Linked DNA regions of Rhinolophus ferrumequinum. The protein of the gene in region 1 interacts with the protein of each later gene in a biochemical or structural test. Links are inferred from orthologs where the notes say so. Each region holds a gene or a part of one and is shown in the gene's direction. Other genes may lie near its edges.

Region 1 (7,999 bases):
CACGGTGCCAAATCCAGTGAATAAGGTGGATAAGGACATACCTTAATGTCTTTATTTGACAGAAATTGCCATATACCAGAAGTGACATGTGACAGGAAGCACTGTCATGATGGAGGATGATTTACAGCACCTTCTCATAACTGTAGTTCACACCTGATTGACTGCACTGAACAAATTGAAACTTGTCACACACTGTTACTAAGGTTTGACTCGCCACTCCCCATATTGAAGATCCCTGGTTTTCCACTGGGTAGCACTCAGCAGCAGCATTCACCTTATTTTGTGATCATAACGGAGAGGCTCCGTGTCATACATCACTTCTGGTACGGCAATTTCTGTCAAATAAAAACATTATGGTATGTCCTCATCCACCTTATTCACCAGATCTGGCACCATGCGACTTCTGGCTTTTCCCCAAAGTCAAAATGACCATGAAAGGTAAACATTTTTAATCAAATCAGGACATCGAGGCAGCCATGACAGCTCAACTAAAGACACTCATGAAAGAGACTTCCAGAACCGCTTCAGAAAGTAGCAAGAAAGATGGGATAAGTGTGTTTGAAGTGAAGGGAAGTATTTTGAGGGGGATTAATGGCAATATGTATTTTACCAAAATAAATTTTTTTTGCAATTTAAACTCTCACCATATTTTTTTATCACATTGTTTAGCAGCAGAAATGAAGACAGAAAGGCAAAGTTGAGACTAAAGTAGATTATAAATTTGAAAGTATAGCGTGAATTGATTTAGGGGAACAACAAAAAAAAGAAAAATATCAAACATTTTAGAAATTAATTCTATTGTGTCATAAAGGTGTAGCCTTTAACATCAGTACGTCGTCACTTAACATCATCGATAGGTTCTGCAACTTGAAGCAAGACAACATAAAATGAAATCAATTTTACCACCAGTTAATTGGTATAAAGAAGAGTTAAGTTCCTACAGCATCTCATCAATGTTATAACAAAATGACATTAATTATTTGAGGGCCTGTTATATAAGATTTATCTGACGTCACCTCCAACAAAACTGGGCTAAGGATTCCCATAGCACTCTATGCATGCTTCCATTTAGCAAGTTGGGGGAAAGTCTGTGTTTCTCATTCCAGCTAGCCTGGAGCCACTTGAGGGCAAGAACCATGATGCATCCATCTTTATAACTCCAGTCTCTAGTATAATGCAAGGCATTTGGTAGGCCAAAGAAAAAATTAGAACTGAACCAATGGTAACTTATTATATAGAAAAAGGAAGAATTGAATTTGCATTTGCAATCATAAGGGTCACTGGGGTGGTAGCTAATACATATAGATGTATGTGAAGAACAGTCTTCCAGAAAGGAGTAGTAATATTTCTATCTCAGTATGTTTGCAGCTATAATGTAACCTCTTTAAGGGCAGAGTTCAAAGTTATTTTGAATGTACTGCAGCATCTAGGACAGTAATGAACATGCAGGGGATGCTTACTTAGAATTTTTTTTAAAGAATAGACAGTAATAATTTAGTCTGTTTCCCTACTCTTATTTATCATACACAATTTAATTATTAAGATAGAGTCCAATGTTCTCAAAATCATTTGAGATTTTCCCCACTTATGAATATTCTTTCTGTACAGAGAAAAACACTTCAAGATGTGATGTTGTTGAACTCTTATCCCAGAACTGACTAGACAGAAATAAAATTAAGGTTTTCCTTAAATCTGGTTTAAAAGAAAGGAAGAAGAGTTAGGCTATAGATCATTCTAGTCAATTAAATAACGTCTTTCTGAAAACATAAAACTAAAAATATAATTTGATCATAAAGATGTGTCTTTTCCTCAGTGATTAATTGCTTTAATTTTAATGGTAGCTCTAGTCATCATAATTTCTCTTCACTCTTTCAATCAACTTTGCAGACTCTCCTAAGATTGACTAATTCACTAACAAGTCATATTTTGTATGACAAACTATAACCTATTCATTTAATAGGTCAGCAAACATTTTCTGTAAACGGCCAGATAAGTAATTATTTTAGGCTTTACAGGCCACATGATTTCTGTCATAATTACTCAGTCTGCTGTTGTAGAGGGAAAGCAGCCATAGACAACACATAAGCAAATAAGAATGGTTGTGTTAAAAAAAAAAAAAGGCAGTGGGCCAGATTTAGCCAATGGCTATAACTTGCCAACCACTATTTTAGTCCATTATTCTTCTTTTACTATAAAAATGGTCAAATATACAGAGAGACTGAGAGACACAGAGAGACAGACAGAGAGAGAGAGAGAGAGAGAGAGAGAGACAGAGAGGTATACTACCATTTAGATTTGATAATTGTTCATATTTTGCTATATTTACATCTATTTTATTGCTGAATTAGAATAAAGAAAACTTTTGTGTCATGAGGTTTTGCCCCTATGTAATTTAACATGTATCTTTAAAAATAAAGACCTATTACTACATAATGTACTAAAATTGATAATAACTCCCTAACAGCCAATATTTAAATTTCTCTAAGTATCCCCAAAATTATTTCTATAGCTATTTAGTTCAAATCAGGGATCCAATTAAGGATAAGACACTGCATTTGATTGTTATATATTAAAAGAAAAGCCTCTTTTACTCTAAAACAGCAGCCTCCATCCTCCAGATGTGACTCGTTGAGGAATAATCTGATTTTAAATAATGTAAACAAGATCTGGACTCAATACATACCACAGGAACATTAATATAGTGGCAAATACAAAAAAAAATTGTTTATATTATTCTCCATATATTTACCTCAATTTCTCTACTTTTGGGATTTATTTTTACATTTCACTTATTTTTTAAACAATTTGTAGAGCTTATTAGGGTAATTTAGACACACTCATGAAACCAGAGGTTTACATGTAACATAAAAGCATATTCCAAAGGGTTTCTATGAAATGTATGAGTCTATGCTATGGGTGCTATGCAAGTGAAGGAGAATAGAATAGTCAGTTACTTTAATTAGACTTAATCCAGATCAGTAAAATCCATCACCTTTCATGAAAGATGCTGATTGTTTTTTTCTTTCAAGAGGATATTACAGTATCCCCAGCTGTGAACAGATACAGAAACGTAGACACGTGGGATGATATTCTAGAGTTTGCAGAGCCTTATGAAGGACAGGAACATCCTTTTCCCAGAAAAATCTTGATCCCTGTGAGAAAATCTATTAGTTTACCAGGGAAATTCCAACCAGAAAAATCACCCCAAATTTCATAAAATTTCCATGAAATGAGAACTGTTGGTATGCACGTGGAGTTACATTTTTAATAAACAATGCTCAGAGTAGAAACAGGGCATGAGACCAGCCTGAAGGAGCAAACTTGTGTAGCACAGGTATGTGACAGTGTAGTGTGAACTTACAGATAAGGTGGCTGGGAAATGTGAATATGGAAATTCACAATATGGAGGGGTTTGTGTTGCCTATCTTTTAAAGTATCCTAACTCACTAGCATTGGGAAATAGGATCAGTAAAGAGTCAGGAAAAAGGATTGGACCAACAGAGATAATAGGAGTACATAAAGAAAAGGGAACCAAAAGGTGCTGATTGGAAACTGGAGCAAAGCTAGAATTCCCTCAATTGAGAAAAGGAATTGAATTTATAAAGAATAGAAAAAGTTAAAGCACAGAATGAGATAGAAGAGAAAAGCACTGTGCAATACCACTGGCCGCATGTGGTTATTTAAATTTAAATTAATTAAAATCAAAAAAAGTTAAAAATTCAGTTCTCTAATCATGGCAGCCACATTTCAAATGCTCAATAGCCACATACGGTTAGTGGCTATAATATTGGATAGCACGGATAGAGAACATTTCCACATTCCACAACGCTGCACTGAGAACATTAAAATGAGTAGGCAAGAGAAAACAGCAGGGAAAGAGGTAAAGGAGGAGGAGAGGTGATTCATCAACTCCCTTTCCCACTTGTGTTTAACGTCACTAGTTCTCATGTGATGGTCAAGATAGCCACTGCTCTACAACCTTGGGGTTCAGCCACACCTCCGCTCAGAAAGGTGCTAGAGAGGTGGCTGCCTTATACATGCTCTAGTCGGTTGGGATTGTTGGAGCAGGACGTTGAATTGGGGTGGAGCCAAGGTTGGGCTTGGGGGAGAGTCATTAAATGGGTGACGAGGGCCTGTGCACACCCTAGTGCCATGCCCAGAATTCAAAGTGGATAAAGCACTCACTTGCCACTGGAAAGATGCAAGAGTAGATTTTTTCCTTCTCTGGTGTCCAGTGAGTCTTCAGTCATTCATGGTCATACAATCTTACTACGAATATATTATTCAGATTAAGTCATAGGTCAACACTCTCTATTTTACTCAACCAATGAGAAATTTGGCCTGACCATCTTATTTCATTTTATTTATTCATATCAGCCGGTTCCTACTATACACATTCATATTCACTGCAAGTAAATATAGGAAGCCTACCTCCTTACCTCCACGATGAATAGTATGGAATTTTAAACCGCTGTTGAGTAGCCAGCCCTCTTTGCCACACACCCACAGTGAAATGAAAGCATTCCGTAGAAGCTCTGCCCTCAGAGATATCCTTCCTTTTTGGGATATTTTTGGCAACTTTTTGGCCATAATCAACTTCTTATCCAATAGGTCTTTTGTTTCAAAATGCCATTTCAAACTCCATAGTCTTCCTGCCACTCATTATATTTACTCTAGACATTGCGAGGTGAAGACAGCATATCCCAAGAACACTAGCAAATGATGCCTTGTAAGAGTCACTAATTATTTTCACAAACCTCAGGGCTGCTCAGTTTCCCATTTGCATGTGTGGGCAGCAGTTTCTTCAATGTATTCCCCATGTTCTAATTGGCTCACTATACAGATTCTTGGCTCTGTGCTTGGGAATCATCGCTGACTTTTAACCCACCTCACCTGAAGAGTAGCTTTCTGTGTTCCATTAGTATTTCAGGCACTGATTCTCATTTTTATAAATTAGCAACAGGATTTTAATTGGAGATTTGGATTGTTTCCTTTTAATCGGACTTAGCGACATTAAAAAAAAATTACTGCACTTGAAAAGGGCAGAACTTTAAAGAGAGAAAATTAGTTGGGGAAGAGAAGATATTCATTTAGAGAAAACAATAGAGACTTCCTCAGACTTAGACTGGTCACTTAAAGGGAACTGTGACATGCAGAGGACCTTATAATTGTAAGTATCATAGTTTTGCTTGTTTGAATTAATACTTTTTTAAAAATCCTCATTCTTAACATTGGCAAATTTTCTGTCTCTCAAAGGACACTTTGAAAATGACAATTTCCTAACATCCACTGAAATGGAAAGTTTATAATTTTCTACTGTGACCTGAGTGTCTGGCTATGAGCATAGGCCGGATAATCCTCTGAATAATATGAGCATCCAGACTACACTTGCCTTTTTAATATGCAAAGAAGTTAAACAACCTGTGAATAAAGCACAGGGTGAAAAGCCCTTATCAATTGTATAATTCTCCATACTTCTGATCTTTTTAAACACCTGCCACTAAAAACCTTCAGAAAAGGAGTAAATCTTCCATGCCCTACAGAGAGTTACCTTTCAGCTGGAAGCAGGGTGTGTCCCTAAGCTTTTACCTGGGAGCAATGATGATCTTGTCAAGCATTTTAGTGAGACCAGCCCAAGTTTTTAGGGTGGGGATCTAGACTGGTTATACGTACCTTCGGTCCTTCTCCCAGAGAAGGCAGAAACACCTCAAAGCCTGCATGTAAGAACATCTACTGAGAAATTATTTTAATCAGACACCAGCTGAGTGGGGGAAAGAAAAAGAACAGAGAAGAACAAACAACACTCCCTTGGTCCTGGATGTAAGAGAACCCAGCAGCGATGAAGTGGCACTTCTTTATAACAGCTGCAGTGCTGTTCATTTTTCTGGTAAGTGGATTCTGTTGAAAATCCTCCACGATCATTCTCGTTGTAAAGTGAGAACATTTTAGAAAATGTCATTTCTTGTTATTTCTAATCTAAACCCATTAAAAGTTTATGTTAATGACGAGGTAATTTTTATGAACTACATGTTTAAATAGTGTTTCTCTCTTTAATTGAAGACTCAAGATCATATTAAGGCATAAGTGTCAACTCATCATATCACATCTGTGAAATCGAAGTCATTGTTAAGTCATGCTGGGAAAAGATTGAATATGAAAAAGTCATATCACTATTTAATAGCACTTTGCTGTTCAGATTCCCTTTTGCAGGTGGGCTTTTAAAGTAATATTACAGGTGTGTCCTGATTTTTTTAACCTAAATATTTTTTTTCATTCTTTTGGTATCTTTGCTGGTAGGTTCACTGTAGTTTTTAAAATATACAAATAGGATCCCTAAAATTAAAATCACAGCAGTTTGTGATTGGCCTCACTATCCAAATAATCTCATTGTTTTCTTATGTGGTTGGGATCCACTAATACGGAAAGCCCCGCACTGCTAAACTATGATTTTATTTAAAATGATATTTTTTTATTTAAAAAAATGGCAGTATGGGAGATTTATAAATAACATAGTAGGTGAAGGAATGGCTATAATTAAAAAGTAAGTATAATTATTACAATACTCGTCCTTACTAATGGAAAATCAGTGATGACTGATATGCAAGTTGTACGTTGATGTCAGACAAATGTAATGAAATGTTTTATCATTGTCCCCCTTACACGTTATTAGTTCTCTTTTTAGAGATAAAACTAAGTGCAGCGCCAATGTGTTGCATCAATTTCACTTATGTCAAAAATATTAAAATTGTAGTCTCACAGTAAGGTTAATATAATCCAAAGAGACAAATGCCAGTTAAATCACGATCCAATTTGGCAGGATATAGTGCTGTGGTTCATATTTGTTTCTACTTGCTTAATTTTGGAACTGGATTGTTGGGTTTCTATAATAACAACTTAGATCTTTGATATGTGGTATGTTGGTTAGTTTGAATTCAGTTTATTAATTAAGAGAGGTCATTACCAGTGGATTTACTTATAAATGAGCATCATATAAGCTGGTAGCTTTAGTTCCAAGCTACCCTTTAAACATGAGCCCTATTCCATGGACTTTTTAATGGGTCTTTAGGATCAATTGATATTATAACTTGCGATGTGGCAGGGATTAATAAGCATTATACAGTATGTCATCTGAACATAAGAGTATTTGTCTGTCATGAAATAAACAAACACTTTTATTTTTAATTTCATATAAAGTTGATGCATTAAAGCTTATTTTAGTTACAATTGATTAAAGTTCATTCTGATGCTTACGTATTTTCACTGAATCTATAGGATACCTTATTTCATTATTTTTATGATTATTTTTAATTAATTACATCCTATACAATCCCTTTAATCAGCCACTTTCTAATTAGTCATTCTTTAGTAAAATGTATCTTTTTATCAAAATCATGTATGCTTATTGCACTTTCTCTCTCTTTGTAGAGAGGTTTCTGGGCATTTGTATTTTATTTTCTGTTTTTGGATAGGTTTTGTTTTGTGTGGATTGTTTGTTTGTTGCCATATTTTACTTTCGAATCAATAACAAGTTTCTCATATGCCTTATGAAAATTATGTCTCAAAGAATTTGTTCTATGATTAAAATGTTTCATTTTTACATTATCATAACTTTTTTTATAAAACATTTCACTTTTTAAGGTTTGGAAAATCATAATTTATTTTTACTCCTGATTTTACCAGATGATTTGGATAAATGTCCTTTGGAGTTATGCAGTCTATTTGTGCTTTAAAATACTATTTTTTTCTGAAAATTAACCACCACGATAGCAAATTATTCCACTTACCTTTCTGCTATCCTCACTGTGAATGTTTACTTTCACCAAACAAACAAACAAACCCATGTAAAGTCTTTAGATTCTCTGCCCAAAGTCGATATAAGTGAAAATGTATAGTAGGGAGCATATTTGGACAATTCTTAAAGGTCAAAAAGACCTTTAAGATACTTAAACTGGTAGTATCTTTAAGGTAAATCCATTTGGGAGCTGGGTGGCCATCTATT
Region 2 (7,950 bases), on another chromosome or scaffold:
GCCACACCCACCCCACCCAGGGACCAGAATGGCAGCTCCAGAGAGTTCTGGCGTGTTGGAGGCCTAGGTGCAGGCCCTGGCTTTGCCCCTCAGCTGGCCCACCCCTGGACTCACCCAGGCCCTGCTCTCCAGGCTGAACCGGAACCTTTGCTCTCTCTCGGCCCACAGCCAGGCCTCCCTCATCTCCTACCAGAGCACAGCAGGCGGGCATGGAAGGACACAGCCCGCCTCTAGCCCCAGGCCTTGTGGAGAGGGGACCCGGGGTCACAGGCGCTGACCTTCCAATCGGGGTATCTGCCAAGGGCTTGGGGAGTGGCGGCTGCTGTTCCCATCCCCCCATTTCCCATCTCTCACCCATGGCTGGGAGCCGCTCTGGGTGCCCTCTGTACTCTCCAGGCACAGAGGCCTGCACAGGCCCCCACACCTGGGGACAAAAGGTCACAACAGGTGCCAGGCTAAGAGTCTGGTCCATTCCTACCCTGGTACCCTGAGGGCGGTGGCGAGGGTCAGGGTCCTGAAGTCACCACGGGGGCAGAATCACGTTCACTCAGACCCTCGGGAAGATGGCTTCCTGATTGGTCCCCTGAGACAACCGGGACTGGACCGAGAGTGAACTAATTTGACTTCCTGATACCAGTTCCCACCCTCTCAGGAAAATGGGCTGGGGGGTTCGAACGTGCCTGAGGGGTCCCTGCCAGAAGGAGACAGGTCGAAGGTCACCAGAGGAACTGGCCTTTAGAAAGGCGGAGGCTTGACCAGGAGGCACTGAGCCCGACTTGTCCAAGCGACCTGCTGAGGGCTGGACGGGGCCTTGACGGATCAAGAGGGTGGACTCCCCTCAAAAAAATAAACATTGATCGAGCACCGTATGTGTGCCAGAGATGTGGACAGAGCAGAGAGGCGTGGACGCACACTTCCCTTCGCTCAGGCTGCTCCAGGTCGTACTGGTGACATGGGACCGGCAAGTGCCAGTTATAAAGGGCCCAGGAGATGGCAGTTTGGGAGTTCCTCAGCAAGGAAAACTAGGATAGACAAGTTGACAGAAGCAGGAAGGAAGGGGGTGGAGTGTCCTGTCACCCCATGTTTGAGGCCTCTCAATGGCCTCTCATCCATCTTCAAATCAAACCCGAGGGAGGCCTCCAAGGTCCAGTGCGATCCTGTGCTATCCAGTGGGGGACCCTGGCGACGTGTGACTCTCGGGAATTTGAAATGTGGCTGGTGTGCCTGAGGAACGGCACTTTTCGTTTCATTTCCTTTTAACTGATTTAAATAGCTACACAGATAGAGGACGCTGCCACCCTCACAGAAAGTCGTACAGTACGGCGCATGCTGCCTGCCTCTGCGCCCGTCTCGTGCCCACACCCCTCCCACGGAGGCCACACGGGTCTGTATGTGGGTCTGAGGACATGCCAGGCTCACGGCCAGGACACCCACGGTTCCCTGTGCTGGAGTGCCTCCCCCACATAGGGCAGCTGCCTCTCACCCTTCTGGTCTCAGCCTGCATGCCCTGCTCTGACCACCACAGGGAACATCACCCTTCAGCCCTGAACACAATTCTCAGTCCTCTTAGTAGCCCCTTTACAAGTTTGCTCTTCTCCTGCCCTCTTAGAATGGAAGTCCCATGAGGGCAGGACCTGGTCTCTTTTCCTGGCTACACCCCCAGGAGCTGACCTGGCACTCGGTACACACTTAAGTGACTGCGAGTGACTCATGCAGACGGAATGGCATATGTGCAAAACCAGAGAGGCTGCGGGCTGGGAGGAAACATGGGAGGGGGGATCTTTAGAGATTGGGGAGGGGCCAGTGTGGCTCCTCAGGGAAGGTTTTAAGGTCCCTGAGTTGGGCAGCCGTTGGGAAGCCTGCTAGCTGACCAAAAGAACTCCGCTAGAAACGGCTGCACAGCAGGGAGCTGGCCCCATGGCCACTGTCCAGGAAATCCAAAGGTGCCTGCAACAGGGGCCAGTGGCAGACGACTGGGCTGGATAAGGTGGGGCTATGCTGGCAAGATTAGAGGTCCATAAAGCAAGATGACCTCGTTCAGCTTCCTGGGGGTTCTGCATCAGTTTGGGGTTCAGGTACAGGTGGTCCCCTCCCCTAGGAGGGCTGGAAATTGAGCAAAGTGAAGCTTCTGTCCGGTCGTGCTTAGAAGCAGCAGGAGCCCCTCTCAGCCTTCACGTGGGCCAGCCATCCTCCCTGGGCAGCGTCCCCTCTTCCCCCATCTCGAGGAGAAACACTTGATAAGGGCAGAAACTTCGTCCTCTCCCCATTGTGTCCCAGTGCCTAGGGCAGGGCCTGCCACACAGGACATGCTTGATCCATCCTTGTTGGGTAAATGGATCCAGGCTGTGCTCCCCAGCGAGCCGTGGGGTCACGGGTTGCCTTACTTTTGTGAGCACTGAGAGCCTCGAGAGTGGAGAGTGACACTGGGTCCCACTTCATGCTGTAGGGCAGGCGGCAAAGAGAACTAGGACCCATTCGTCCTCATCAAAATTAGAGTGTCAGGGCTCGAGTAGGAGCCATGAGATCTCCTCACTCACAGATTTGGTGCAGGAGACAGAGGAAGGGAGTTCTAGCATCGTGAAGCTTATTAGTGACACACCTGGATTCGGAACCCAGGTGGCCTGATTTTCATGCCATGTGATGGACACAGGTGCTGTTAGAAGACTGATTCAGGGAAGGCTTTGGGACCCACTGCCTGTTACTGGGAAACTGCAAGGAAGCAGCCTGGCACTGCCACTGGGTGCCCAGGCCCTGGATTCAGGCTGCCTGTGCTCGGCCCGGTTTCTGCCCCTTTCCAGCTCTGTGACCTCACGTAGCCTGTTTCCTCATCTGAAAAGGAAAGATGACGGCGCTGGTCCCCACCCCACAGGGTCACTGTCAGGATTCCAAGGGGAGGATCCGTACACAGGACCGAGCACCATGCCTGGTTCACAGGGGCACGGCCGCATCGGCTGTGGCCATCAACACATCAAATTACATCCATATCAGAGCAGGGGAGAAGCATCATCTAGAAAAACTGAGATTCATACCTGGCAACAGATTTGAGGATACTCAGGGTCCGTGTCCAGGTGTCCGTGTGACCTTTTATAGCAGTGCGGGCCGCTCCGATCACTTCCTTCAGGGCCACTCTACATCCTAAAGGAAGCAAAGTTATCATTCTTTAAAGACCTAATGAACATTTATTGTTAGCTCGCGTATTAGGTTTGGGATGGGCCTGATGTGTGACACAATGGCGGTGTATTTTTATGTGCTGTCATGTGCACTTTATAGTCCAGTGGGGCCCCTATGTAACCCGCATGAAGGCACTTTAATGCACATTTTATGGCACTTTTAAAGGGGAGGCTGGAGAGTTGCAGGGAAGAACAGTGGCCCAGGCGTCATAGGCCTGATTAGAATGGAGGCTTCGACATGGGTTAACTGGAGACCTCGGGCAAGCGACCTCCCTTCCCCGTCAGAAAGCTGCAGAGCTGGGCTGTGAGGTGCCCAGGGCTCCACCAGCCCTCACGGTCTACGGCTGGAAGCAGAATCTTACAATTTTAAGGGATGAGAGAGGGTTACAGGTGTTGACTTTTTGTATCTATGACATATTGTTGGTCATAGCTCTGGTTTATTTGACGCCAGACAGCGTAGGAACACAACCCTCAATTATAAAACAATTTCTATTGGAAACTACACTCAGCTTTACAATATTCTGTCTGGCACGTGGCTACCAGGAATGCCTTCTGGGGAAAAGCTGGGGCTCCCTGCATATGACACCCACTTCTCACAAGTGAGAGCGTCACCTTCATGTGACCCTGAGACTGTCACTCAGGCTTCTCCATCCTTCCTCGACATAAAAGGCGCAACAAGCTTAGACTCTGACGGCCCCTTTCTCTGCAGATTAGGGCAAACTCAAAGGGAAGTGTGTGAGCTGTGAGCAGTGACTACAAATGACAGCAGAAGTGATAGCTGTGCCAGCGCAATGCAGCCAGGGGAGCCCCCAAAACTCAAAGCTGAGCAGACGTCCACACTGAGGACCCAGCGTCATCACGAAGCTCCTGAAATGTGTTCAGGATCTTTTGTTAAAGAGGCAGGGTGTGCTGCTTCTACAAAGATTTCCATCAACGTCATTTAAAAAATAACTCAGCTCCTCTCACACCAAATAGCCTGGTGTGGGCCACCACCGTGCCTGAGGACAACGCTATGTGAATGACACATCACCACGCAAGTGTCCCCAGGGGCGTGTGTGGGAGAGAATGCACACACGAGGCCATCAGGGGGTAGTTTTATGGGCGAGGCAGGCTGAGTTTTTTGGTAAGGATCTGGGTAGAATTCACGTTAGACTTAATTTATCTTAAATTAGCCTTCATTCATTCATCTATTCAAAAATATTTGTCATCGAGCCCCTACGATGTGCCAGGCAGTGTTTTAGGGGCCAAGCCTGCAGTCTCAGGAGGGTCCACTCTTCACGCATGGCAGGTCACTGCTCTGTGCGTTTTGCATCTCAAGGCTGGTCCAGGTCTGGCTTGTTGCTCCCATGCCACTCCCTGCAGGCTGGAAGCCGCCTTGCAGGAGAACAGATTGTCCCCACAAGAAGGAGCACTCCCTTTGGACGAGGACTGTGCTTCTGTCACCAGCCTGGGAGCCACCACCTGTGGGTGGTCTTGGCCATGGTCTCAGGACAGAGGGAGGTGGGCATCTGGCTGTCCTGGGGACCAAGTCAGAAAGACTCCTCCTTCCTAGAAGGACGTGTCCCTGGGTTCCTGAGCTGAGCACATACTTTCTCCATGAGCTGCAGGGAACAGGACAGAGGGGCGTGTCAGGTGCCTCACCTCCTGCGTAGGGGGGCGGGAAGGAGAGAAAGGCAGAGACAGCAGTCCCACACTCAGGACGCAGCCCTGCCCCCAGGAGCTCCTGCTGGGCTGCTGCAGCGTACAACCAGGTGGAGTGGGTGGTGCAGGCAGGGGCCGTATATCCAGTCTGACGGAGGGCGGGCCCCGCCAGTGCCAGGAGAGGGACGAGCCAGGGCGGAAGCGCCAGGAGCAGCCCGGAACCCTCGCCAACACTCACTCTATGGCCACAGGGAGCCCCTGAGCGAGAAGAGCCCTCCGCTGTCCTCTGCACCTCGCCACCTCCGCCGTCCAGACCCCAACCCTGTCTGCCACCATGAACCACTCGCCACTCAAGACCGCCCTGGCCTATGAATGCTTCCAGGAGCAGGACAACTCGACGCTGGCCCTGCCGTCAGACCAGAAGATGAAGACGGGCACGTCGGGGAGGCAGCGCGTGCAGGAGCAGGTGATGATGACGGTGAAGCGGCAGAAGCCCAAGTCGTCTCAGTCGTCCACCCTGAGCCACTCCAACCGAGGTAAAGTCACCTGACGCGCACAGGACGTGCGCGCCCCTGAGGGGTTGGGGTGGGAGCTGCGGAGCGCGCACCTCCCGGCTGCAGCAGAGCGAAGGACTGCCGGCCGAGGCAGGGTCTGCGCAGGTGCGAACCCAGAGCCCCTGGCCCTGTCCCAAGCGGACAGTACCATTGCCTGGACCCGGGGACCAGTTCCAGGAGTCAGTGCGCACCGGGGAGCACCAGCGCGCCTCCTCCGACACGGCCAGGAGCTCTCTCCAGCGCACTGTTCTCGTGTGGGGCCCTGGGCCCCAGCGGCTTTCTCTTCCCGATCCTGCCCGGGAACCCCCTACCTCCTGTCCTCCAGGGGCGGCGACCCCAGGGTTCGCCCTCACCCCTCGGAGTGTTTCCCAGGAGTGGCTGTTCCTTCAGTGGGCAGTCTGCGCCCAGGACCACAAGCTCTTGGAGCCTCAGCAGCATGTTATTGGGAGCCTTACACCTGGAAGAGGCCATCCAGGGCTGGTGGGCTCCCTGGGGACCCTCTTTCCCCAGGAGCTAACGCAGAAGCTCCCTTTCCCATAGGACTGTCCTTATAGAGCTTATGGCGCTCGCTGAGGTGGGGCTAGTGTGTTGGGGGAGAGCGGGGACCGAGGCTGGCACATTGGGAATCCAGCCCCCCCCATGGGGCAGTGTCCAGTGTGGGTCCTCAGCCTGACCAGCCATCCACCCCCCGCACAAGGTGCCCCCACTGGGGCGGGTGCTGGGAGAAAGGGGTAGGATCCCTGAAACTCAAGGAGGGCGGCACAGTGTCTGACGGACGATTGTGGAGAATTTTTAGACCAAATGCTTCCACACAAAGGATTGGTAGTAATATCACACGGATTAGTGAACCTCCTGCTTATGTATTTACTTAGCTCAATTGAGTAAAATACTAATAAAGACCCTGCAGGCCGCAAACCATTACAGTCAACCAGGCCCCCCTGGGAGAGGGAAGGGATGGGGTGGTACAGGACAGGGAGAGGAGGGAACGGAGCCCTGCCCACCTCCCACCACACACACACCAGCTCACACTCCCTACCGCTGGCTTCTGTCCTCTTCTCTCCCCCGCCCCGGTAGCCCTGCTGAGGCCCTCCCAGCCCCCAGGCTTTGCCGTTCCGCGCGCCCTTTGCCCTGGCCTGGGCTCCTGGTTCCTCCTCTGCCAGACTCAAGACCATGCAGCCTCCAGGGCCCTTTCTCCTCTTCTATTTGGTGCCTTGGTAGGTGCTTACTAGCCTTTTTTGGACGGAGGCTTCGGACAACAAAGTGCCCCATTTCTGGCCACAGCCCAGTCACAGCCAAAGCCAGTGTACACTTTTCTCTGAACAAGACTCACCTGACCCACTCCCACTCCTGCTCTATCTCTGGCCTGAGCTCCAGGCTCACAGCTCCAGAAAAATCTCAAGCCATTGGTGCTCCAAACACATCTTCCCACCTAACTGGACAGCGGCCAAGTGCCTGCAGCCAGGTGAGGGCTGGCTCTGGTGGCTCTGCATGCCTCTCCAGACACGGGGTCTCTGTCCTGACAATAGAGGTGTGTCCCCTACTCAGCTCTGGTGAGGTTCCCAGAGGGGCCAGGTCCCCAGAGGCATCATCACTGGGAGAGGCGGTTGGGCAGCTGGAGCTGGTGCTTCTGGTTTGTCTGGCTCCGTTTCATCAGATTTCGCCTCCTCTTCACCAGAACCACCCGAGTGTTCCCTGCTGGCTCTGCGGCCACTCACTCCCTTCCCTCCTTCTCGAGTTGGTTGACATCCCATGTACCCACTAGGGTTCCTGGGACAGAGACGTGGTGGCTCTGGAAGGGCTACACCCCAGGCCCTTTTCTCATCCTGCTAGACAGACTCAAATCCTGCTTCGGTCTCCTCCACGAGAGGTGAGCAGGTCCCGTGGGGTCTGTTTCTCCCTGAGTCCCATCCAGGCCCCTTAGTGAAGGACTCCTGCCCCAGAGAAGGCCAGCCACGCCCCACAGGAGCTTGGCAGGGTGGCCCCCACTCCTGGACCCCGTGAAGGACAGCCAGGAACCGGCTCTCCCTCAGAGCCCTCTCCACCAAGCTCTCTTCTGTCTTGTCCGTCACGGGGAGCTGAGTGACGAGGGCTGAAGAATGAGCCCGTGGAAGGACCCTGGGGCCCAGGGCCCATCCCTGCCCAGGCAGGCCCTCCCTGAACACACCCTCCTGGCCGGGAAGCACCGGAGGGAACAGGGTGTCTGGGGTCTGGGGACCCTGCAGAGGGAGGCTGCCGTCAGCCTGCCTGCCCGCATGACCCTCTGCCTGAACTGGCCCCTCATTTGCTTCCTGTGTTTCCAGAGGGCTTTCGTGTGCACAGGTGTCCCCTCAGACTGTGTGGGCTGCAGGGGTGTGGCTGCTTAGATAGCTCTTCCTGCCCAGGCTGGGAAGTCCCTGCAGGGGTTGGTGACCAGGCAAAGGGCAGATGCACTGCTTTCCCACACTCAGGTTCTTCATAACTTCACAGGAATCCCTTCTTAAATCTTCACCCAAATCTCATTTGATCCAACCCCAAGCCCCCCACCCCCACCCCCACCGCTCCACTGAGATACACACCACCCACAAAGTTTGTCAGCTTTTTTTCCC

What was found. The genes of interacting proteins can lie anywhere in the genome.
Region 2: the proteins of DSG1 (region 1) and PKP1 form a complex in vitro, tested with the Homo sapiens proteins (2 studies listed by BioGRID and IntAct). The link is inferred for Rhinolophus ferrumequinum from reciprocal best matches to the Homo sapiens genes DSG1 and PKP1.

The regions. Positions count from the first base shown.
Region 1 is NC_046302.1:26,214,309-26,222,307, forward strand, and holds the start of DSG1 (desmoglein-1), read left to right. Parts: upstream 1-4,904; 5' UTR 4,905-5,170; intron 5,171-5,256; exon of another isoform or gene 5,257-5,754; 5' UTR 5,755-5,839; coding exon 5,840-5,887; intron 5,888-7,999. UniProt on the Homo sapiens protein: Component of intercellular desmosome junctions. Involved in the interaction of plaque proteins and intermediate filaments mediating cell-cell adhesion.
Region 2 is NC_046310.1:1,013,635-1,021,584, reverse strand, and holds the start of PKP1 (plakophilin-1), read left to right. Parts: upstream 1-4,889; 5' UTR 4,890-5,145; coding exon 5,146-5,347; intron 5,348-7,950. UniProt on the Homo sapiens protein: A component of desmosome cell-cell junctions which are required for positive regulation of cellular adhesion.